3 linked regions of the Astyanax mexicanus genome follow. The protein of the gene in region 3 binds, or shares a complex with, the protein of the main gene of each other region. Links are inferred from orthologs where the notes say so. Each region holds a gene or a part of one and is shown on either strand. Other genes may lie near its edges. The genes, in order: ropn1l, nme5 and lrrc23.

The links.
Region 1: lrrc23 (region 3) and ropn1l share a complex: the UniProt entries of both Homo sapiens proteins name them as parts of the axonemal radial spoke complex. The link is inferred for Astyanax mexicanus from reciprocal best matches to the Homo sapiens genes LRRC23 and ROPN1L.
Region 2: lrrc23 (region 3) and nme5 share a complex: the UniProt entries of both Homo sapiens proteins name them as parts of the axonemal radial spoke complex. The link is inferred for Astyanax mexicanus from reciprocal best matches to the Homo sapiens genes LRRC23 and NME5.

What each region holds. Positions count from the first base shown.
Region 1 is NC_064408.1:99,302,923-99,310,455, forward strand, and holds the start of ropn1l (ropporin-1-like protein), read right to left. Parts: upstream 3,064-7,533; 5' UTR 2,890-3,063; intron 2,798-2,889; 5' UTR 2,746-2,797; coding exon 2,718-2,745; intron 1,556-2,717; coding exon 1,405-1,555; intron 365-1,404; coding exon 241-364; intron 124-240; coding exon 1-123. Other genes in the region: ndufb4 (NADH dehydrogenase [ubiquinone] 1 beta subcomplex subunit 4), read left to right, coding at 5,275-5,451. UniProt on the Homo sapiens protein: Functions as part of axonemal radial spoke complexes that play an important part in the motility of sperm and cilia. Important for male fertility.
Region 2 is NC_064417.1:28,157,093-28,165,237, forward strand, and holds the start of nme5 (nucleoside diphosphate kinase homolog 5), read right to left. Parts: upstream 3,560-8,145; 5' UTR 3,293-3,559; coding exon 3,158-3,292; intron 1,765-3,157; coding exon 1,559-1,764; intron 1-1,558. Other genes in the region: rack1 (guanine nucleotide-binding protein subunit beta-2-like 1), read right to left, coding at 4,703-4,768, 5,070-5,180, 5,627-5,767, 6,895-7,005, 7,255-7,350, 7,521-7,668. UniProt on the Homo sapiens protein: Functions as part of axonemal radial spoke complexes that play an important part in the motility of sperm and cilia. Does not seem to have nucleoside diphosphate kinase (NDPK) activity.
Region 3 is NC_064420.1:34,902,600-34,911,113, forward strand, and holds the start of lrrc23 (leucine-rich repeat-containing protein 23), read right to left. Parts: upstream 3,558-8,514; 5' UTR 3,426-3,557; intron 3,169-3,425; exon of another isoform or gene 3,168-3,168; 5' UTR 2,826-3,167; coding exon 2,724-2,825; intron 1,690-2,723; coding exon 1,580-1,689; intron 1,474-1,579; coding exon 1,211-1,473; intron 1,091-1,210; coding exon 960-1,090; intron 869-959; coding exon 732-868; intron 1-731. Other genes in the region: uncharacterized protein si:dkey-32e6.3, read right to left, coding at 5,822-5,998, 6,090-6,222, 6,782-6,942, 7,296-7,687. UniProt on the Homo sapiens protein: Essential for sperm motility and male fertility. Plays an important role in the proper assembly of the third radial spoke (RS3) head and the bridge structure between RS2 and RS3 in the sperm flagella.

The sequences.
Region 1 (7,533 bases), on a different chromosome or scaffold from region 3:
CCAGTCAATTTGTTCATCAAAGTTGCCAAGGTCAAGGAGTGTATTGAGCTGTTCAACCGGCAAGCACAAGCCTTTCCACTTCTTCAGCAACTCCTCTTTCATAACAGGTTCTTTTGGTGAAAGCTGTGATTATAAAAAGAAAACAGCGTCAGAATATGTTCAGTTATATTCATTCAAAATGTTACATAACCAAACATTTTTATCACTAATAAAAGAGCTAGCTAGGCTTATGTCACGAACCTGCTTGTGAAGGACCTTGAGCAGGCCTGGAGTAAGCCCAGTGTCTGTCTTTTGTGTTGCTACTGGCATTTCTAGCCTGTCCTTGACTGGCAGAGTTTCACCTTTTGAAAGTGCTGAAAAATATCTTAAGAGGAAATTATGCATTTTAAAAGAAAAACTTAAATAACTGTGGATTACATTTCAAACGTAAGTCTCTTATTAGTGACGTAAGTGACTCATATTTAATGTGCTCTACCTGTGTATGAGCTGTCTTTTGAAAACTTTTCAACATTAGTAATCCTACTCTATTCCTCAAAACTTTTGAAATGTATAGCTCATAACCTTTTAAAGATGATGTGCCAAAAATGACCTCCCTTAAAGCCACAGTATGTGAGAATTGTTTTTTTTGTTTGTTTGTTTGTTTGTTTTTTTCGCTTGTAGGCTACCCCTGCAATTGGCAAGTGGAATTTACACTTTGAGACACCCTTCATTTTATGCTTACATTCAATTTGGGGATTCTGTGATACAGAACCATTATTAAAAGTAAAATAATCATGTGAACAGACACACTTGAGCAGGCTAATATTGCTGGATGTTACACACTTATCATTCAGGTTGCACAGTTCTTGCAGTTTTTTCTACTTTTCCTGCCCACTTCAAAAGAGATACACAGTGCAGTGAGCAGCACACTGAGCCTGGAGTAGCCAGAATACAGACACATTCTCTCTTACATGTCAGTGGAGCTTTACAGATTTTGAAGCTCTTTTTAAGGTAAAAATGCTAAATATGGTTGCTTTAATCCTTTATCATTGAATATGCTTTTGGTTGTTACTGCCCTGTAGTAGTTGTTACTGCCCTGTAATGGTTGTTACTGCCCTGTAGTGGTTGTTACTGCCCTGTAGTGGTTGCCCTGTATTGGGTGTCATTCAATAAGCAGTCCGAGCTGAAACACATTTTAAGGCTTCAGGGTGAATGGGCATGACTAAATTGTTTCAGGCTAAAACTTGTAAGATTTTAAGCGCCGCAGCTATCAGAGCATTGATCCCATGATTGTTCTTGGCTGAAGACGAGAGCTGAAATTGGCCAAATTGGAGAGACAATTTCAACAAACAAAAACAAAGATACAATCACAGTACATGTCATGCAATGTGTTTTTTCACAATCTAGCAAAGTGTACCAACTTACGTGGCAGCCCACTGCAGTACATCAGGTGGCTGTGTTCTAATAGCAGCTTTAGTAAACTGTTTCAAGATATCAGGCAGCTCTGGGGGAATGTTGATCTGCTGGGAGCAGTACATCGTATCTGGAGGAGGCATGTCTCCTGTTAAGAAGTGATCTAGTGAAAACCCAAAAAAGATTAAAGGAAAGTAAAATGTTAGAGAATAAGTTACATTTCAGACAAGCACAACATATCTACTGTAATTTAACTGTAAATCATTGATTTAATGTCTGTCTATTTGCTTATTTAGCTGACTACAAACTACATCCCATAAAATCCATAATCCATAAAATGCCTTTATTTTTTATTATGAAGATGTTTTCTATAAAAAAAGAAACTGATAAGAGCATACTCTGAGCATACTCGGACTTTTATTGTAATCTTGGTGATGCGAGCAGAGAATCTCCAGAGAGCAGATTGCACACTTAAACCTGGAGTCTCTGCTCTGGGTTTGTTAGACCACCGGAGGGCGTCTGATTTTTTATACTGAAAATTAGATTAATTTACTGAAGAAAAAGCAATTTCAATTTTAAATGATAGACCAACAGAAAGTAGAATACAATTGTGAATTGGAATGAAAATGATAAATAAGTTTTAAAGTTTTTATATAATAATAATAATAATAATAATAATAATAATAATAATAATAATAATAATAATAATAATAATAATAATAATAATAATAATGGACACCTCATTTAATGTATTATCTTTTTTTATTTTTATTTTACACTCCAACTGTAATATTGTAGACCATAAAATGATACAGGAACACATGCAGATTTATTCTGAAAACTAAAAACGGTAAAACAAATCATAATATGTTACTTTAGATTAATATAAGCATTCACATTTATCTTTGAGGACAGATCTGCACACTCTTGGTATTTTAATCTTAGTGTCTTCATGAGGGAGAGTCTTTTGGAATAGTTTTCTCAGTGTCTTGAAGGAGTTCCTGGAGGTGCTGAACAATAGTTGCTGCTTTTTATTCACACAGTGAAGCTCCAGCTCATCCCAAATCACCTCAAATCACCATCTCAGTTGGAATGTTTTTTTGTTTACTATGTAATTCTATATATGATTGTGTCCCTTACTCATGTGTTTAATATTAATCTACAAAGTAAAAAAAATAAATAAATAAATAAATAAATAAAGAAAAACATTAAATGAGAATGTGTGTCCAAACTTTTGACTGGTGCTACAGATATACAGGATAGTTTAACGTTATATAGGTTCATAAATTAGCTACAACTGTTGCCTATTAATATAATGTAGCTACCCTTTAATCTAGAGCAAACAACAGTCATCAAGTGTTCAGCCTGACTGTGATGAATTACTCGGCCTGGTTAATCAAGTTTTCTATAAGAACAGAATAAAAATGACCAGTGAGAGACTTAAGCTCAGCTCTTTAAACTCTATTAATCCTCTATAAACACCTTGTAACAACTCACCGGACTCACAATAACACACGGGCTTCCTTCAGCGGACAAAAGAGAGGTTCACTATTAATTTAGATGAAATAAAACATCCTTTAAAACAAAGCTAAACTAGTAAACTAACAGTGAGCTATACTAGCTGTCACCATCCTGAGACCCCCTGCTTTCCCAGCGGCGCACTGTTTGTGTATAGCGCGTTACCTAGCAACACGTTATTGGGTGACTAGAGTGCCCCCTAGAGGGCTCATTTAACATTATGTATAACACTATAAATACAGCTCTGGAAAAATGAGACCACTTTAAAATATTAGAACATTTTTTCATTTAGAGCATTTATTTGCAGAAAATGAGACATGATCAAAGCAATGAAATAGATGCAGTGCTTTAAGACCTCAAATAATGTACAGAACATACATAAAACATAGATATAACATAGATGTAAAATAAAATAAAATATAGAATGAACCAATAATGTTCATTTTACTTATATCATTTTGTAGTGATCTCTCTTTTTTTTTTTGTAGTGGTCTCACTTTTTTCCAGAGATGTTCGGATGCCCAAGTTCAAATTACATATATGGTGAACATTCTAAGTAAATGTAAGTAAATAAATCCTGTATATAAACAGCCTTTAAAAAGAAATAAGATAAAGCAAAATTTTTATTTATTTAAAATTTTTAAGCAACGCATTGTATGTGCATGCACTATTACAATAAATGTGGCACATGTCACATGTGTTTTTTTTTTTTGTTTTTTTTTGGTGTTTTTGTTTTTTTAATCCAATATGTTAAATTAGACTTCCTCTCCCTAAAAATCCCGAGTCGAGTCATTTTACAAGCAGGAATGATGGCCACTCGTTTTTCTTTAGTTAGCTGATTGGTTCTTGCCGTAATATGAATTGTACTAGTTTTCCAATAGGGCTGACGGCTGTGTAGTAACCTGACTTCTGCACAACACAACTGATGGTCCCAACCCCATTAATAAATCAAGAAATTCCACAAATTAACCACGATAAGGCACACCTGAAAACCATTTTAAGTGACCACCTCTTGAAGCTCATTGAGAGAATGCCAAGAGTGTGCAAAGCAGTAATCAGAGCAAAGGGTGGCTGGTTTGAAGAACGCGCTCAAGTTATTTACTCACCTGTTCACCTGTACTTGTGTGATGTATTTATTTATTTTATTGTATTAGTCTGCTTTATATGATTTTGGTGTTGTGGTTTTTACTTTTATGTTTTTTAATTATGAAGATGTTTTCTATCAAAAGAAAAACTGATAAGAGCATACTCTGAGCATAATCGGACTTTTATTGGAATCTGGGTGATGCGAGCAGAGAATCCCCAGAGAGCAGATTGCACACTTAAACCTGGAGTCTCTGCTCTGGGTTTGTTAGACCACCGGAGGGCGTCTATACTGATTTTTTTATACTGAACATTTAATTCATTTATTGAAAACAGAGGAATATCAACTGTTTCTGTACTAAAGATATCGGTTTAAACATTTTAAACTTTAGGTTTAAGCCTTTTAAAAGTGATGTGGCTGTAACTTCAGCATCAGTTTATTCACCAATCAATCAGCTTACAGTAGCAGTAATGCTAGTGTCCGTGTTGCCCAAAAATCGTTTGATGTGGAAGATTAGAAAAATGCAGATGCGATTTCTTTGCTTTGTTAGAGAAATATTCTTATTTACTTTCTTAAATGAAAGAATATCCTGGATGAGTAGTAGGAAACTATTTTTAATTTGAGTTTTTATCCGTTTAGCTCCATTCACCCCATGCATTACGGTCTTACTCGCGGGCTCCCTCTAGTGTTTCTCACCTGTTTTCTAATACAGCTCTGGAAAAATAAGAGACCACTTAAAATGATGGGTTTCTTTTTTAAGAAACTGAAAACCTCTGGAATATAATCAAGAGGAAAATGGATAATCACAAGCCATCAAACTAAGCTAAACTACTTGTTTTTTTGCACTAGGAGTATAACATTATTTAGTTGAAGCGTGTAAGACTGGTGGAGGAGAACATGTCAAGATGCATGCAAACTGTGATTAAAAACCAGGGTTATTCCACCAAATATTGATTTCTGAACTCGTAAAACTTTATTATTATGAACTTGTTTTCTTTGCATTATCTGAGGTCTGAAAGCTCTGCATTTTTTTGTTATTTCAGCCATTTCTTATTTTCTGCAAATAAATGCTCTATCTAATATTTTTATTTGGAATTTGGGAGAAATGTTGTCCGTAAAACAACAGTGTTCATTTTACTCAAATATATACCTGTAAATAGCAAAATCAGAGAAACTGATTCAGAAACTGAAGTGCTCTTAATTTTTCCAGAGCTGTATTATATTGTGTGAGTGTGCAGCAGGTAAATCAGTCCGGGTCAGCTCGCTGGTCGTCTGCAGACATGGCGGACTATAAAGAGGCACCTTTGGCTTCCCGGCCAAAAACGTTGGATCCAGCGGAGTATTTCAATCTTTCTCCGGAATACCGCAGAGCTGAGGAGGAGCGGGCTGCGATCAGAGCCCGGCTGAAGCGGCAGTACCAGATGCAGCTCAACAACCCGCTCAGAAAAGAGCTGATTGTAAGACTTTCCGCCGCTCACCTAGATTAGCTTAGCTAACGTTTACTGGGTTATGTTAGCTTAGCTGTATAACTGTATGAAGCCTGTTAGTGTGTGTATAATGGTATAATATGTGTTCAGGCGGTGTCTACAGTCAATCTGTCCTTTAATTGTATCTAGATTACAGTTTTGAACAGCTTATTTCATGTCCTGATATTTAACAGGTGTTTATTAAAACAGTGACCTTGGTGTATGGTAGAGTAGCTTAGCTACCCTATGCTAATGTTTGCGGTCTGATTAGCTAGCTAGCTAGCTAACCTAACTGAAGACTTTAAACGTCAATAAACGCGTAGAATAAAGTCCTAACGTAACACAGCCTCGCCATCTAACTTGTCTAACTAAGCTCTGGCAGTTTTACTGGTTGTTTCTGTGCCGCTGGTCTATCGGTCGTTGACAGGTGGCGTCACGACGAGCTTCTATTTGTGTTTAGTGCCTTAATGCAGTCAGCCTTGTTCTACCTTATTTTAGATCACTCTCCTACAGAGCCAATAAAGGGACGTGGTGTATTTTATTTACGTTAAGTGGTAAGCACTACATACTAAGTGTAGTGAACCCCTGAAGGGACATGGTGAATTAAAAAAAAGAAAAAAGAAGTATTGGGCACCACATACTAGAGGTGGGCGATACTGGGAATTTTGATATCGATCCGATACCAAGTTAATGCAGGGCCAGTATTGCCGATATTGATACCGATTCCTTTTAATATTTTCAACTTTATAGATTCAAAGGATCCAAAAGACCTAGGATAAAATTTCGCCAAACATTGTGCATGACAACGAAATACTTTACCACAATCAACATTTTTGTTTCGAAACAGTGGCACAGTAAGTTTGCCTTAACATTAGGAAAATAAATATTTTTGAGGTAGAAAAGGAGCAACCACTATACAAAAAAAATTCTCACCTCACTAGACATCTTTTCTAGTTCTTTCTTTATTTGTTTCTTTTTTTTTAAATAGAATTGTTCTTAGGAAAAACAATAAAAAACATAAGTAATTTTTTTACTTTCAGTGCAATTCTATTTTTTCTTAAATAAACAGAGTGTATTATATTTAATAAAATATCCAAAAAAAAAAAGAATACTTAGGTGGTGTCTCTCTCCATACATGTTGGCTGTTTGGCTGGCTCCGCTGAGCCACGTGCAACAACAAAAGACCAGAGTCGGGTTTGGGGGTGCAGCGCTACTCTTACAGACAGTAGACTTTGATGAATCTGTGTGCGCAACAGTTGGTGCGTACAGGAAAGAAAAAAAGCTTGAGTATCGATCTTTTTACACGAGTATTGCTCAATACCAATACCAGCATTTATATCGATATTATCGATCTACCACATACTAAGAGGTGAACCTCTGAAGGGACATTGTGTATACTAAGGGGGTGTTCTGAAGACTTTAATAAGCGCGTAGAATAAAGTCATAACCTAACACGATCAGCACAGGGCGTCTGTGAGCTGATGTATCGAAACCGAGTCGCTGTGCTTTTCTCTGAGCGAGCTGTGATGCTACTCGACAATGCTGCATCAACAGCAGTTCTAAAAGAGACTAAGTCTGACTTCATGTGTATCAGAGGAGGCATGTGCTAGTCTTCTCCATCCTTGTATTGTGGCATCACCCTTGATGTGGGGGTATATTCAGCTGACTAGCAGTTGAATATGTGGGATATTTGGCTCTAGCTTAATAGGAAGAAAATTGGGGAAAATTAGACATACATTTAAAATAATACTAATAATAATAATAATGTGGTTTCTGTAAAACTGAATACAGGAATTAGACCTTCCATGATTTTATAAGTAAACTCTTGGTTGAACAGGAGAAAAATTAAATACAGGTAAAGCCTTCTGTGCTAAGTAAAAATTTCTATATGTTTCTGTAAATGATGTTTCTCTAAAACCTCTGTCTTACATAAAGTTATTACACCAGATGATTATAAATATCCTGCCTGATGCCCGAGACACAGTTTTACTACAGTTCTAATAAGATTTTGGGTCTAAAAACTGTTCTTAAAATATAATTAAAATAAGGGAAAAATACATGCCGGACTTTGTA
Region 2 (8,145 bases), on a different chromosome or scaffold from region 3:
TGATTTATATCACACTGTTTTTATTGTATCATATGTGGTACCAAATATGGATATATTTTTTTAAACATATGGTCTCTAAATTTCCTAAGGCTCGCCCCTCAAAAAAGCCTTAAAAGCCTAGGTTCATTTTTTAACTACGAATCCTTATGCAGAAACTACTGTAAACTGCTAGGCAAACATTTGGTTCGGAGTTCCACAGGGTTCTGCTGTAGGACCCAGAAAATGATTGTTAATAATTACAGCACTGTAGATATGAGAGTAAAGAAACAAACTGTTGGCTTATATACTGTACGAAGTTACCAGTTTAGTGCTGGCTGCACATTTTCTGTGATTATCTGGTTACCTTGGGGTGCCTTACCTACAACGGTTTGAGAACCACTGTCTTATAAGTTAGTTTAAAGAACCATTTGAAGTGCAATTACACTATAAAAGACTATAAAACAGTTTGTAAGGACAAACTTTGAGAGGACAGTGTTTCTGAGCGGCATGAAAATCTGGGTCATTTTCAATCTTTCTTAAGTACTCTGTTGATGGGTCAAGTCGTTTGCAGACTGAGATGGCTGGGTAAAGATGTGAATGGTGGGGGGGGGGGGGGTCAGTGGTTTGACCTTTCAAATTTGATGGGGTTAAAAACCTCCATGGGGTTATTGTTTTGGGCCAGTGGCTGAGAACTCTGTATATCTACTTTGATTGCTAGCCGGGGGGGGGGGGGGGGGGGATGGGGGGGGATAGGGGGGATAGGGGGGATGTACAAGGATCATAAATTATTTAACCCACCCACTCAAGCCACTGAGCAGAGTAGGACACTGTTCTGTCCAAACCATCACAGGGCACCTAACCTGTAGTAAGATTATATACCATACGAACCTCACTGTTCTTTCTGCAAACTATGTGGGACCATGTGTTTTACTCAACTTTTCATCTGTACTTACGTGATGAGACAATAAACCTTATTTGATTTAAAATGCATTATAAGACACTTGCATAGGCACTTTACCTGCCATCATGTTTATAGGTTACTGACCAAACTTTCTCTATACATACAATACAAATGATATTACTCTATTAACCCCACTGGGATTAATAAAGAAAAAAAGAAAGTCAGCTCGTCAGTTAGTCAGCCTATCTATCCAACTGCGGTGTATCCTAATTTTTAGGTCTGTGTCAGACAATAAGGATTTAAATCTAATAAATACTATTGTATTAAATTAAAAGAGAGGAATGAATCCCTATGGGATATATGGGGCATACCGGCATGTCATGCAATGCCCTATTTTTACTCTTTTGAATTCCTTATAGTACATTTTTGTGTTGCTTAGTGCTATATTTTAAGGGATTAGGATTTTATCTAACGTATTTCTTTTTGTAGTGAAATTTAAATGATAAGGTGTGCAATTGATAATTACAGTAATATTAGCCATGGACATCCATGTTATTACTACTGCTACTAGTAATGATAATAATAATTATAAATATGCAAACTTTTTTTTTTTGCATGCTGTTTTAAATAATCCAGTAGTGCTTGAATCTGAACACATTATCAATCACATTTAATTACCAGTCAGGGTGTGTATCTTTGGCTTTGGAACTGTTGGCTGGTCCCATCAAGTCTTTCCAGGTGGAAATGGCCTGGTGCCTGGCCAGTGCGAGGGCGATGACTGGGCCAGAGCTCATGAAAGCTGTCAGACTGGGAAAAAACAGCTTTCCGTAGTGCTCAGCATAGAAATCGCTGCACTGCTCCGGACTTAACTGAAGCCTCTTTTTCTGTTTTATAACATAAAAAAATAATGAACAGCTGAGCTCTAGTTTAAGAATAATTCCACATATTTTCCTACTGTGCCCTTTCAACTACATAAAACCAAATATCAACCTTTCTCAATTTATATATATATGTAAACATTTTATTTATTATAATTTATTATTTATACATTATTACATTAACATTACTTTATCATTTAAGAAGGTACAGTTTTAACTAGTAAAGATTCCATAGATATCAGTGGTAACACGTGACTTGTGTAGATCTGTAGTTCTATTAACTTTTTAGTTGGATTTGCCCATTGTGGATGGTGTCACTGCTCCCCCAACACCCATCCTACCCAGGGCAAAAAAAACATAAACTTTCTATGTAATTTTATGTACTTTTATGTAACTTTCTATGTGTTTTACATTTTTAACATTTTAAAGATATGGCCAATCAGATAATTATAAATGAACATAGCTGAAAAATATGTATTGAATATATTTAACCCTTTTTCTGTGGCCCCTTAGCACCCCATTGTGGCCCCCAGTCTGAGAACTTCTGATCTAGATAATATACAGCTCTGAAAAAAAAAGAGACCACTTCAATTTCTGCACCAGTTTCTCTGTTTTTGCTATTTATGGGTAGATGTTTGAGTAAAATGAACATTGTTATTTTCTTCTATAAACTACGGACAAAATTTCTCCCAAATTCCAAATAAAAACATTGTCATTTATTTGCAGAAAATGAGAAATGGTTGAAATAACAAAAGAAATGAAGAGCTTTCAGACCTCAAATAATGCAAATAAAACAAGTTCATATTTATTAAGTTTTAAGAGATCAGAAATCAGCATTTGGTGGAACAACCCTGGTTATTAATCACAGTTTTCATGTATCTCGGCATGTCCAGCTTGGTTTGATGTAATCTTCTTCTAGATTATTTTCCAGAGGTTTAAAATTTGGTAAAATCAAAGAAACTTTTAAGTGATCTCTTTTTTTCAGAGCTGTATCTGTCTAGCATCATTCATTTTACTTCAGTCCTGGATATATGGAGATATATGGAGTGCATTATTAGTATCATGACATTCTGGATCACTGACTTCTGTTACAAATCTAATATTCTTGAATTTTATGAATCATATCGTATGCTATAATATAATTTTTATTTTCTTTTTGTGGGTTCTTGAATGTTTAAATTCAGTGTTTTGTCATATCACCAAGAGTGATATCGTGAAAATGCCATAAAATACTGCGATATTATTTTATTTTATCTTGGACTACATATTGTGAATGTTGAGTTTGTACTGAAATATTAGGTTATCTATCTTTATTCAGACTAGGCTTAATTTCGTAACTATTAGTTTGTTCAGTTAACTGGTTAACGTTACTAAGGCTAGGTTATGTAAAGTTTAATACCTGTAAAATCGTGAAGCCGGACTGTAGAATTATGTTCTCGATTTCTTCTGCTTTATCTACAGAGTCCGGTTTAATCAGAGCCAGAGTTCTCTCCAGGAAAAGGCGCTTCTGAGGTAAACTCCGCTCGTCTGCCATAACTCACTCAGCTTTTACAATAAACTACGCCAGCTAACCTAATACAGCTCACTGCTACACTTTAAACTACAGCGAAAACATCCAGTTCAAACCAAACAAAACTTCAGTCCAGATATAAAACCACCATTTAACTGTTTTCTAGACGCCGTTACTTTTTATATCACAATAAATCGTTAATATTGAAATAAAGTCTCAGTATTAAAAGCTAAGCTACGCTATGCTCAGCTAACTAGCGCCAGAGGACTGTTGCTGTGTGGTTGCTTGGTTACCACATGCACGTGACCGCCTTAAACGCCTTTAAACTGAAAAAAGAAAAATATATATAAAATGTAATATTTACTAATAATTATCATACAACATTTAACCACGTTCAGCGTCAGTATAATAAAAACGTTCTAAACGTTTATTTAAAAAAAATAAGGGCCTTTAATGTTGTTGGTTTGCACAATGCTAACCCCAACACAGGAGCAGCAGTTAGTTTTAACTAGTGATTTTATTCCATTTTTAAAACTAAATGCACATATAACTCTTCCCAATATACTCCAATCATTTAAAGACCGTTTATTATTAAAAATAAACAAATTAAAAATATAATTACCAATTACACATGCCTTTTGTCTACCTTTATAACCTATAAATATTTGGCAGGACAATGTTAATAACTGTGCAAAAGTACATTAAAAACAGGAATACTGTGTAATCAACTGGTAAGATGCAAATACGTTTTGCTCACAAACTATTTATTCATATACTAACTTTATTTAGGAATGCACACCGAGTAATACCAGTATTGACAGACAAATCCTTTAATTATTTATTCAGCCAACCTTTCAAAGAGTTGACATTTATTGTATGCCTGAAAAGGATCAGCTCATTTTTTATGAGCTTTAATAGATGTTTATTTAAAAAAAAGAAGGAAAAAAAAAAAAAGAAGTTGTACTTCATAAATTCAGCCTTATGAATTATAGCTGAAAGTCAGTGAAATCAGTAGTTTAATTTCAAATCCGGTGTAGTGGCAGGCAGAGCCTAAACCACTAGGATTGTGTCACTTTCCAAATATTTCAGGACCTACTGGTATCTCTTTGTATCATCTTTTTCAAGAGTTCCTAAACTAATCATTTTCTCGTAGTCATTTAAACATTATCAAAGCTTTACATTTTTTACATTCTGAAAGTAGTCTTTACAAACCAGGTAATAATAAGTAAACAAATCACTTCTGTAAGTCACTCTGGCTAAGAGTTTGCTAAAATACCTTAAATGTAAAATGTCAGCTTTGAAACAACACTGTAAATATACCTGGATAGATAAACTGAAATGGCATCCCAGTCAGTTACATGCAGTGTAGAAAAAGAAAGACAATGACTGAAAGAACTGTGATATATTTATTTAATTGTAAACATTACAAAAAGCCTATCGAGTTCCAATGGTAACCTGCCACACTCTGATCAGGTTGTCAGTGTAGCCAGCAAAGAGAGTCTGTGAAGAGAATGAAAAACAGCAATTTAAACCAGCTGTTTTAATGAACAAAAAAAGGAAATATTAAGGCTTTATTTATACATAATGGAAATATATAAAGAGGTAAAAAAAAATATCCAGACATATGTGGATGGGCCTAATTTAACCCAAACCCCTCATAATTGCAGGACTGTCACCATGCGGTTTCAGATAGTATATGGTTTGATAATCACAGGGGTTTGTCCGGTAAGGCCCTTTTAGTGTTTATTACCCAAAAAACCTAAATATGCATTTTTATAAAAGAATAATAGGTTAAGCTTACTTGTCCATCAGCAGACCAGGCCAAAGCAGTGCATTGAGGGGGCTCGGCCTTGCTGTTTGTGCTGATGACCTCCTGTCTCAGCTCATCAACAATAATTTTACCCTCAAGGTCCTGAAGTGACAAGAGAAAAAAATGCATATGGTCAGTACTGCCCTTATGGATATTAAGAAGTCTTGGAAAAAATCTAAAAAAAGCATACAACATTGTTTTTTAGACAGTTCTCAGAAACAGCCTCTTTTATCATCACAGGACAGCAGAAGGCATTAAAAGGTTCGTCACTGAACTCATCTTATAGTCTCACAAAACAGGCCACCCAAAAGTTGAATGTCAGGATAATTACAATATCAGCTTTTACAGGGTCAACATGTACTAAGTGGCTATTTATTTATTTATTATTATATCAGTGTCATTGTCTTTACATTTCTTTAAAATTGTCTTTAAATGGCAATAAATATTGTTTATCGCAGTTACTTCTGGGAGAGTATATCAACCAAATATTTTGTGACGGATCTATGTCTTGGTATGTTAAGAATGAAAAGAACTGGAGTAGTACTCACCCAGATTTTGATGCTAGGGCCTGTAGCAGCACACAGCCAGTAGCGGTTAGGGCTGAAGCACAGGGCGTTAATCATGTCCCCACCGTCCAGGGTGTACAGGTGCTTTCCCTCATTCAGATCCCACAGCATAGCTTGCCCGTCCTACAACACAAGCAAGAACAAAACACCCACATTTGAGGAGCTGTGGCACAATTCTTACACACACTCAATCAGAAATTAATATAATGTTCAGAAACAGCCTCTTTATCATCACAGAGAGACAGATGGCATTAAAGTTTCATCACCACATTAGAGCTAAGAACTGCAGCTGAAACAACCATTTGTTGGAGATGCTGAACCCATTAGAGCCTCGTATGGAAGCCTACAGCTTTTATTAATGCAAGCGCGTTATTATACTCTAATATTTACCATGTGATATGTCTACCACAGGCAGACTAAGCTTAAAGGAGAACGCCAGTGTTAAATTTACTTTTGGCACCGTTAGCCAACACCACTACACTGATTGACTACTTTGATATGGCGGTGCCTAGAGATCAGGCTACACTACAGGTTGTAAACAGTGGGTTTTAATAAGCCTTTTGTGCACTTTTAAAAGTTACTAATGCCACATTTTAAATGTCAGGGCTCTGTGTGGAGCTACTCTGAGCCTGGATGATGGCGTAAAAAGCGATATCAGGGGCAAGTGCATGTCCTGAATTGGCCATTGTAAAGAGTGCTGGCTGGATCTCGGAAAGCTGCAGGAGAGCGGAGGTAAGCTATTTAACAAAAAGGTTAGTACTCATTTCATGTTTTACTACCCCAAAATCCATTTTACACCGGAGTTGTAAGCTATTTTTTTTTTTAACCCAATTTTACATTTACCCAAATATTACATATGCATCAATTATTTGGCAATTGAAATTAGGTAAAAGGCACAACTAATTTATACCAAGCAATGATGTTTTCTTTGAGAAGCCAGGCAGAAATACATTCAGGCTATTAAAATAATGAAGTGGTTGAAAAAGTGGCAAATTAATAAAACAAAATGATTGCAGGCACATTTTCACATGCCTTCAACTGTGCACTGGTTCCCCATCCTTTAATTTACTTCACATTTTTACTTTACAAATCTCATAATTTGCTATATTCATTATGAATAGTTTTGCCTCCCTATGTTAGTTATTTAAAAAAAGGTTCAGTTCTATACTTATTGCTGATATGTTTGTACTGAATAAAACTTGCAATAGTCAATAGTAAAAGATAACCTTTAGGGCAAGGCAAAGTCATACCTTTCCTCCAGAGGCACAGAGAGAACCATCAGGAGACACAGTGACTGTATTTAGGTATCCTGTGTGGCCAATGTGGTTCGTCTTTAGCTTACAGTTAGCAAGATTCCACACCTGTCAAAAAAGCAAATGCATACATTTTGAGCACTCCGAACCACTATTGGTATAATATGCTCCCACAAATAGACAAAAACACATTACCATTAATCTTCATGCTAAAAATCTTTACCCATCATAATTGCAGGACTTGTCGCCAGAGCCCAAGAGCTCAGATAATGTATGTAGATTTGTAATCATCGGGTAAGGTACAGTAAAGCAGAATCTATTAAGTCTTGAGTTGGGATGAGTGCAATCAAGCCGTACCTTGACCATCTTGTCCCAGCCACAAGACACAATGATGGGGTTGCTGCTGTTTGGGGAGAAACGCACGCAGGACACCCATTCTGAGTGGCTTTCGTCCTGTAGGAGAGAATAAAGGAGATTCAGAACAAAATATATGGACAATATGGAGTATATGGACAAGACAACCATAAACATGGCATAATTGTGCTGGACACAGATAGAATTTGGCCTCTGCCTTTAACCAATCAATGCAGTGCACGCACGCGCCAAGGTATCAACACACTGACCTGGATGGTGTATTTGCACACTCCCAGGGTGTTCCACAACTTGATGGTCTTATCCCTCGACCCAGAAACGATCTGTCTGTTGTCGGCAGAGAACGCTACACTCAGAACATCTTTGGTGTGTCCAACAAAGCGACGGGTTGTGGTGCCACTAGAAGAACAAGGGGTAGAACTCAATAAGACAATTATGCCAGCTATACAAAATTGTGTTTAATATTAGACTGTACAAAAAAGAAAGACCTGTTTCAGTCATGTAAACTCTAGGGCTTATTTAAGCAAAATGAAATGAGTAAAATTATTTTATATTGGTGGTTAAATAGGATACAAAGCCCAACCCAGCAAAGGATTGTGGACCTAATTACTTTACTGACTTGTTAAACAATTAATGCACTTATTTTTTAGAATGAGTGTATGGCTTCATATGTATAAAATTTAGTTTATCTTTTAAAAATACACATTCCAACTCCTGTATAATTTGAATGTTTGGATATTTAAATTATACTTACATTTTTGTATGATTATGCTGTTTTTTATTCATTGCTTTAATTTTTTATTGCTATTTTATTGTAATTGCATTATGCAATCACAATTATATTGCTGGTACAAAATGATTGTCTCTGACTTAGCT
Region 3 (8,514 bases):
TAGAAAAAGAGAAATATTGTGTGAGAGAGGGAATACAAGCATTTGGGGAACTTACTTTTTGAGTAAAGGTGTTTCAAACAAAGGACCATTTGTTACATTGTATACTTTTGGTATGGTTAGATTTGGTTTCACACTGCAGTTTAGTAAATGGACTAATTTTACTGATTAATCGGTAAATGATAGCTTTAAGTTCCTGTAATAGGTCCAAAAGTTAAAAGCATCTGAAAAAGTGCAAATTCAAATAAATCTTGACAGAGACAACCTGTTTTGGTTAAACCAAATTTTGTGGCTTGTTGCACACCTGACATTTTTGTGATGCCCAAACTAAAAAATCACAAGGTCTGAACCAAAAAAGTCAAAATATTACTGATTCTCAGAACACAGAACATTGTGAATGCTGAGATAATAAAAATACTAAGTTTTTCTTGGTCCGAATCATCTGAACCATATTTTTGTTCATTTGCAGTGTGAACACTTTTCTAGATGGTTTGGGCTTTTGAACCAATTACAGGAAGTTGAGTAAGGCTACCGTCACCAATTAAACAACATAAGAAGAAAAATAACCAATGTTGTGCCAGAATCCTTTTGTGTTAATATGCGTCATGCATGAGTACCATTGTGCTTGAGACTCCAAAACTAACCAGATAAAATGTATACAATGTGTACTTGATTCAGAATTTGGTGCTTTTAGGGAAAGAATGTCTGAGACATTTTATTATCTAATTATGTACCTGATATTGAGATATTGCAGAGATTTCATACTTGGACTCAGACCATCTAGTGTTTCTAGCTGGTTGCCTCTGAGGTGAAGAGTTGTTAGGCGCTCCAGTTTCTCCAAACCTTCCAACTGTTTAATTTTGTTCTGGGCCTAGACAATCAGAGTAAGAATTGTGTAATGTGTAATGTTTCATCTTGTTATTGCTTTTTAATCCACCACAAACCAAAAAATGCCAAGATACCAAGTAAAGATTACGCAAGTTGGGGAGGTAAATGCCATCTGTAGTTTCTAAACTGTTCCCTCTCAGCTCCAGTGTCACCAGATTGGTCAGCCTGTGATATTCAAGGCCAGACACCCTCTGAATGCCATTACCTGAAAAACCGAAGCATTGTGAATATTGCTCAATTAGTGATAAAATATAGCTCATTGTAAGTGTTGCTCAATGAACTTCAAAACAAAATCAACAATGAATTGTCTAAAGATGGCACTAACCAGTAAGATTAAGGCTTTCCAGAGCAGGCCCACCGAGCCCCTCTGTATCACCCAGACGATTGGCTGCTAAGCTAAGCCACTGCAGGTATGCGAGCTGACCCAGCGGCTGATCTCTGAACCCTGGAAGTTGATTGCCATCGGCCTTTAGCCAAAGCAGCTGTGTTAAGGCAGCCAGTGGAGAAAAGTCTGTGAGGAAATTGGAGGAGATGTCCAAGAAACGCAGATGGACAAAGGAGCTCAGCAAGGCAATATCCGTTAGACTCCTTGGTTAAGACAGAAATAAAAAAACACTCATTCTTCATTTTTCTAAAAAAGTATTCATCTCACGTTCTGTTCAATTTATGCTCAGTTATTCCTCAAAAAGACTACCTTTCTTTTAGGTCAGCTTTGACAAATGCATGGGCCAGTCCGTTTCCAGTGCGGCACAGCAAAGACAGGCTCTGGGCCATCATGTCCTGTGTCAGAGGACAGGACTCAATCTGGAAAAAGGAAACCAGAAAAACAAAGAAAAGCTAAATTAATTCATGTACTTGCCTAGGTGCTACACATGTTACTGGAGGCTTCCCCTAAGGATAGACCAGAGAAGCTATCCAGGTTTTCCACTCCTGCTGCGGAAGTGAACCAATAAATCAATGCTAAAGTTGATTTCATATTAATCAACTACCTATGTATTGGACTCAGAGGCCCAGATTCTCAACAGCATTTCTTAGAACACATACAACAAATACAAAGAAGAATTTTAAACACTAAAAAGTGAGATGTACAGACACTAGTGAGACACCTATCTGCAATAGCTGATACAGATATTAGTTTTACCCTGTTCCTATCTGTTTGTTATCTGACTTTAGTTTAAAGTGACGAGACAAGTATTTCAGAAAACTCACAGATAGTAAAAGGGTGATAGGATTAAAATAACATTATTGACAGCTCTTTATGCTATTTTCTTTCTTATCTCTTATCAGTATTTTGAAACAATCTCATCAAGCATGGAGGAGTTTAAAAATAAGAGTATGTTACTACTATATAAAAGCCAGGATGTGAGAGAAGCTGATGAAGAATGACAGGGCTAAAAGAACATGTCTGATCATGTAGCGGTCTATAGTCTGTGTGTTTGATTAAGCTTGCAGAACCTGTATTCTGTTTAAGATACCTTTGGTTAATCTGTTTCTATTGTATTGATGTCATTGGCATGTACTAACAGTACTATATAGAGACATGTCTAGTGTCTGCTAAAGAACAGATTCTCATCAACAGGAATTCAGGAAAAGGAGAATATTTTCCAGTGTCTGACAGATCTTGAGATAGGGTTTAGATTAGGATGAATTAGTCATGATGGTCATTTTTGCATTGGGTGCTAGCTACCTGTTTTAAGGTTAATCCACTTAGTTTAGGCATTCTGTTGCATGTTTGTCAATCTTTTTAGACAATATATTTGGCATAAATTTATAAAATAATGCAATTTTAAGTGTCCCGGGATAAATGATTAAACACCATCATTGTGTTACGCGGTTACCTGATCCCGTTCAGTAGCTTCTTCCTCTTGAGCCTCTTCCTCCTTCTGCCCCTCTTCGTCAGATTCGCCGTGTAACAGCTCGTCCTCGTCAGTTAATGACATAGTTTTAGGTTTATATAAATTAAGGTTTTAGGGAGAAGCAACTTAACTTGAGGTTAGCTAACCTACCTAGTTTACTAATTAACAGTAGCCCGATAAAATACTCACTCTGGGGTAATATGAACTACTTTTTGCCAGCAGACATTATGTCCAATTTTATTTTATTCGTTATTCTTCTGTTTTCTGATTGGCGTTTTATTTACTGCAGTTAACTAGAATAACGTTCAGCTTACCGCTCCTAAAGTGTACAGTCGTTACCAGGCAACAGGAAGACCCTCCCCTGGGCACGCTCCACTAAAGACCGGTCCTTCCCTGAGCCCTACACCCTAAAAAAAGCTAAAACCACTAGAAAAAAGCAAAAAAGGGGGAAAAAGGAAACAACTATTACAACAAATTAGACTAGATTGCTGTTACTAAAGCCAAATCAGCCTGTTAGAAAAAATGAAGAGAGTAATTTAAAAGAGTTAGCAGATGCCCTGAGAAATCCATAACAGAGATTAGTGTTAAGTTATTTATATCAAACCAAATAATGGAGAATGCAACTGTGATGCAATTTTATTACCGTCTGATCCGATGATAAGGTGTCTGATATAACACACTTACCCAGCCCTCTTGAATTCCATAGATAGTCCGAAATCACATTAAAACAATCTTGTTTGGTAAATGGGGGGTCCATGACTGTAAAATAGTCTTTGTGTGAAACATTTAAAACACAACAATGGCGATATAAGCCATGAAACATAGTAAGCCTTTACTTGCCCAGTGCGTAATTACGCATCTAGTGCACTTTTACGTATTTTGTGCCTAATAACGCATCTAGTGCACTTTTACGTATTTTGTGCGTAATTACGCATCTCTTGCGCTTTTACGCATTTGGTGCGTAATTACGCATCTCGTGAGCTTTTACGCATTTGGTGCGTAATTACGCATCTCGTGCGCTTTTAAGCACGGTGAGCAGGACAAGGAAACACGTGAAATACACATCCCTTACCCCCAAAACAACCTTAAATTGAAGTCACTTTTATAAATTTAGTTTGTCACCCGTGACACTATTTCAAAACTTAATCTGTAAAAAAGACACTAGTTATTTTTTGCCCAAAATATACATGTTGCACTGTACTGTCTAATATTGTTTGAAATGTTATTTAAATGAGAAATTTGGATGTGTTTAATGACCACTGATCACAGTACTAGTGCTATAAAATATGATGTAGCTGGATTATAAATACAAAAAGCAATTCTTTCCTACAAATTTCTCTAACTTTTAATAAAAGTCAAAGCATTTCTAACATTCTAACATTTCTTATTGCCATCTGATGACATACAGCTGTAAGCAGACACACACAACTTTTGAGGATTTATTTTAGTTGCAAAGACACAAACAAAAACATGCTAAAAAAGCCTCAAACATATAATTAAATATATATATTCAAAATTAAAATAAATACCCAGTGTCAGCTGCACCACAGTGTCAGTTATCAGTAGTAAAACAATTTACACTTCATTTTCATGGTGCAGCTTTAATTATTCTAAAGTGAAAAAATTTAACCGTTTTCCAAAGCATAATTTTTCTGCTTAAATATAAATACATCTTAAAATTAAACACAGTAGAAAATGGGGAGTTTGATTTGTGTAAACAATGCAGTGCATTTAGTTTTCATTAATTCAGCAACTCAATCTAACAGTATATTAGGAAAATACTGCAGCTATATTTCATTAACAAAAATATAACTTTGTGGCCTAAATTTCTATTCAGTGCTAAATGTAGATCAGAATCTGATAAACATTACTCTTTCATTTCCAGACCTCACAGCACTTTCTTTTGGCATGTAAAGCACAATGAAAAATACATTCTAAAGAGTTAAAAAAAAACTCACTTCCAATGTAAAATAAGTAGAAATTCAAGTATGATCCACAAAGGATCCTAACATGTAAAATAGAATTTGATAATCCTACAAAAATGCTTAATACTACTCAATGTTAACTCAAACCCTGAGAACACTGATATTGAGACACTTCTCTGCAGAAACATTCCTCCTGTTTAAAAGCTGCCCACGTTTTATCTACTAAGAGTGTGCACTACTAAAAGTAATGTCAGTACTTTCACACTACTAAAGCTACTTGATGTGCAATTCAACAGATGATTCAGTTATTAAAATGATTGTTGTATTCAGCTGTCTTGAATAGACAGCATCACTGCAGGGGCAAATTAGGCTATGTTCACATGACAAGCCTCACTAACAAGCTTTGATTTGGTTACACTGAACTTAAAAAATCAGACCTCAGCTTGATAATGTAAGAAGGGGATAATAATAATAATTAATTTCAAGTATTAAATCCTGCAGAATGGATGTTCCTGCCTGTTCTCTTGTACTGTCTGCACATCTGGGAGTCTCAAATAAACTTCATCCTTCCAAAATGAACAAACTTGGGCTGGTTTGAATGATATCACAGTAACATCAGTACTAAATATATGGCGGTAGATAAACTGCTGAATAAAGCAACATACTTATTGTTTTTATCAAATATAAAAAAGCTAAATCTCACCCTATGTACTTTTTAGCTTATCAAGAGTTCAAGTATTGAGATATTTTGCACTACTACATTAGAGATAACTTATTATTACTATGGAACCATCCTTCTTCTTCGTCTTGCCCTTACCTAGTCTCCTGTCCATCCTCATATTCCCAATTTGGCATTATAGCGCTAAACACATTTGTAAAACTTTACTTAAATGCTATTCATACCACTTCAGATGTACACACAACAGAGCTCCAGTCTGAGCTGCTGGGACCAGAGATCCAAAGATTATCTGTTAAAAATGCTCCAAAAAGAATCAGAAATCAATATTTGGTTCATATAGATATTCAAGTTAACGGGATGCATGAGTAATGAAAAAGTTGGTCATTTTATCATGGATGTGATCACATGACCACAAGCATGTTTCCTTCTTTATCTTTTTTTCCCAGGCAATCATCCTACAGATTGACATGTGAAACCTAGTTCAATCCCTGCTGAAGATTCCTTTCGTAGTTCTCCATGCAGATGTGTATGCGCTGGATGAAGTAGCTGGGGTCAGAAATGGCTCTGAAGAGGTCATTTTGTACCAAACACAGATCATACAGTTCTGAAGTGGAGGCCGTGCGGGTCTGTGAACCCTCTGGATCCAAAAAAACCTAAATAAGAGGAATACAAGCACAGGTGACTCTCTGATTTAAGCTTAGGTTTATAAGGAGAAAATGACAGTCTTTTTTTTTTTTTACACACCTTAGGATGTACAATAGTGTCTTCATCGTTTTGCCGGATGTTGTCATCGATAAAAATATGCTGAACTGCAGAGTCAAAGGGGTCAATCCACAGTGGTTTCCCTCCCAAAATGGAGTACGTATTTTGTGCCCACCTATTGGGAACAGAGTTCATTATGACTGGCAATTTTTTCACTGTCAATATGAAAAACTGCTTGATTCATATATCAACAAGTGAAAAACTAATCTAAGATCTGAGATTTTCATGACATGTTTGTATTAACAAGAGAACCAGGCTGTTTAACATTTTTGCCCCACTCCCCTAAAACCAAAACAAGTTTTACCTTTAACCCAAATCAAGCCATCTAATCAATACTTTTTACGTCTACATTTACATAGCTACAAAGCTAATGCAGAACAAATTGAGCTCTAGACCCCATTTATTAACTCTTATTAAAATCCATTTATTAAAATCTCCATTGAAAATGCTGACTAGGCTTAATTCATCTCTGGGAAACTTCCCCCAAATCAGCCTGAGGTATAAGCTTCTACCACTATGTCAGCATTATTAGCCTTGTAGCTTCAGTGACTCAAAATTGTCTTGACTGAGGGGAGATTTAGGAAAACTTGATTGTTTACTGTTGTTAACTGTCACTTAAGAAAAGGAACAACTACAACAAGGCTGTCTCTCAATACTTTTGGCTGGTTACTCACCAGTCAAAATGGTCCTGAAAGCCACTCAGCCCCTGTGAAGAACTCATGAACTGATACAGGCTCCTCTCCCCGTCTCGTGCAGACAAACGCTCCTCTCCATAAGTCAGAACTGCACCTTTATTGCTGCACCTGATCCGGCCTGCTGTTACATTCACACTTAACTACAAGGGAAGAATGTTACGTTTTATTCTTTGGATGCCTTTGGACATACAGAGTTACTAATTTGAATACAGAGAGTGTAATGATAATAGTGATATTTGGTTTAAAAGGAGAGGGACAATTCAGATAAAAAGAATGTATAATTACATAATGATTATATCATAATTATATAGCTTTTTAAATATCAATTATAGTCAAAGATTAACAAGCCACCGCAATCTTTAGTCATATACATGTCTAACCTTAAATTATCAGCAGCTGGAACACAAACAACAAATATATACTAAATGGAAATAATGAAGAAAATAAATGTATCCACTATCCAAATTATAATACAAAAGGTATAATACAATACCTTTAGAGCTGGCAGGTCAGGGAAGAGTGGATGGGTCCCTTGCTCAAGGGCTCGCTGAACAACCAACAAAACGCGAGGCAGGTCGGTTCCGAATGTGCGGAACACGATAGAAAATTCCAGTCCCTGGGAAGCCAAGTCCTGCAGCAGCTGGAAGAAGGATGGAAGGATCCAGTGATAGAGCTTCCCATCTTCTCCTTTAATAGAGAGCTCCTTGTCTGGCTGCAGGTGGGAAGGCCACTGCAAGAGTTCAAGATGCTCCTCAAGGACTTTTCGGAAACGCTTGCCCGGCCCAGAGGTAAAGCCCGGTACTCTACCAAAGTGAGAGTAGTAAGTCACAGCACCTTCACAGGGTGGAAGAAGTGTTGGAGTCTCGCACATCCACTCCCATCTTCCTGTAAAGGAAATTATGACAAAGTCATAAATACAAAAGTAACAATTTAGAGTAAGAGACATTTTGTGTGTCTTAGTTTTAAAGACACCTATTTAACCAAACACATTATACATTTGTATTTGTATTGTCAGTAGCTATAAAACACAGATCAACATCAACAAATATTGAGGTAAAATTACAGAGAGCACACATATACTGTTTAATTGGATTTAGTTAAGCACATTGTGCATCATTACATGACATTTAGTGATTTCCTGCTGCAACACACCCCTTCAGCTCTCTGACAGTGCTTGTTAATAAGCTAATTGGTTAAACCAGGTGTTTTTGAGAACAGAGAAATTACTAAAATGCGCAGGGCATGGTGCCTTCAGGACCCTGCTCCAGCCCTCCTCCTAAAAAGCTAGCTCCTGCACCATCCTAACACAGCCCACTCAGCCAATCAAAGACTTTTGTAGACTGGAAAACCACATGCTGAAGCATTAGGAACAAGGAGGGAAGGATCCAGTGGTACAGCTTACATCTAATGCCTTGTCTAGCTGCAGGTGGGAGGGCCCCTGCAGGAGCTCAAGATGATCCTTATGGAGCAGTAAACACACTAAAATGTGCAGGACAATGTGCCTTCAGCTCATGCAATTTGCTAACACAGCGCTTCCAGCCAATCAATGACTTCTGCAGGCTGTAGTTGAATGGATCAGGATTATATTGAAAATGTGAAGAATCACTGAACTAGACTGTAGATTACTGTTGTAAAGATTTTTTTTATTGAGAGCATTGCTAAAGTCAGTTGGGTGATTAGTTAATTCTAGATAAATAAAAAAAAGTTTATTT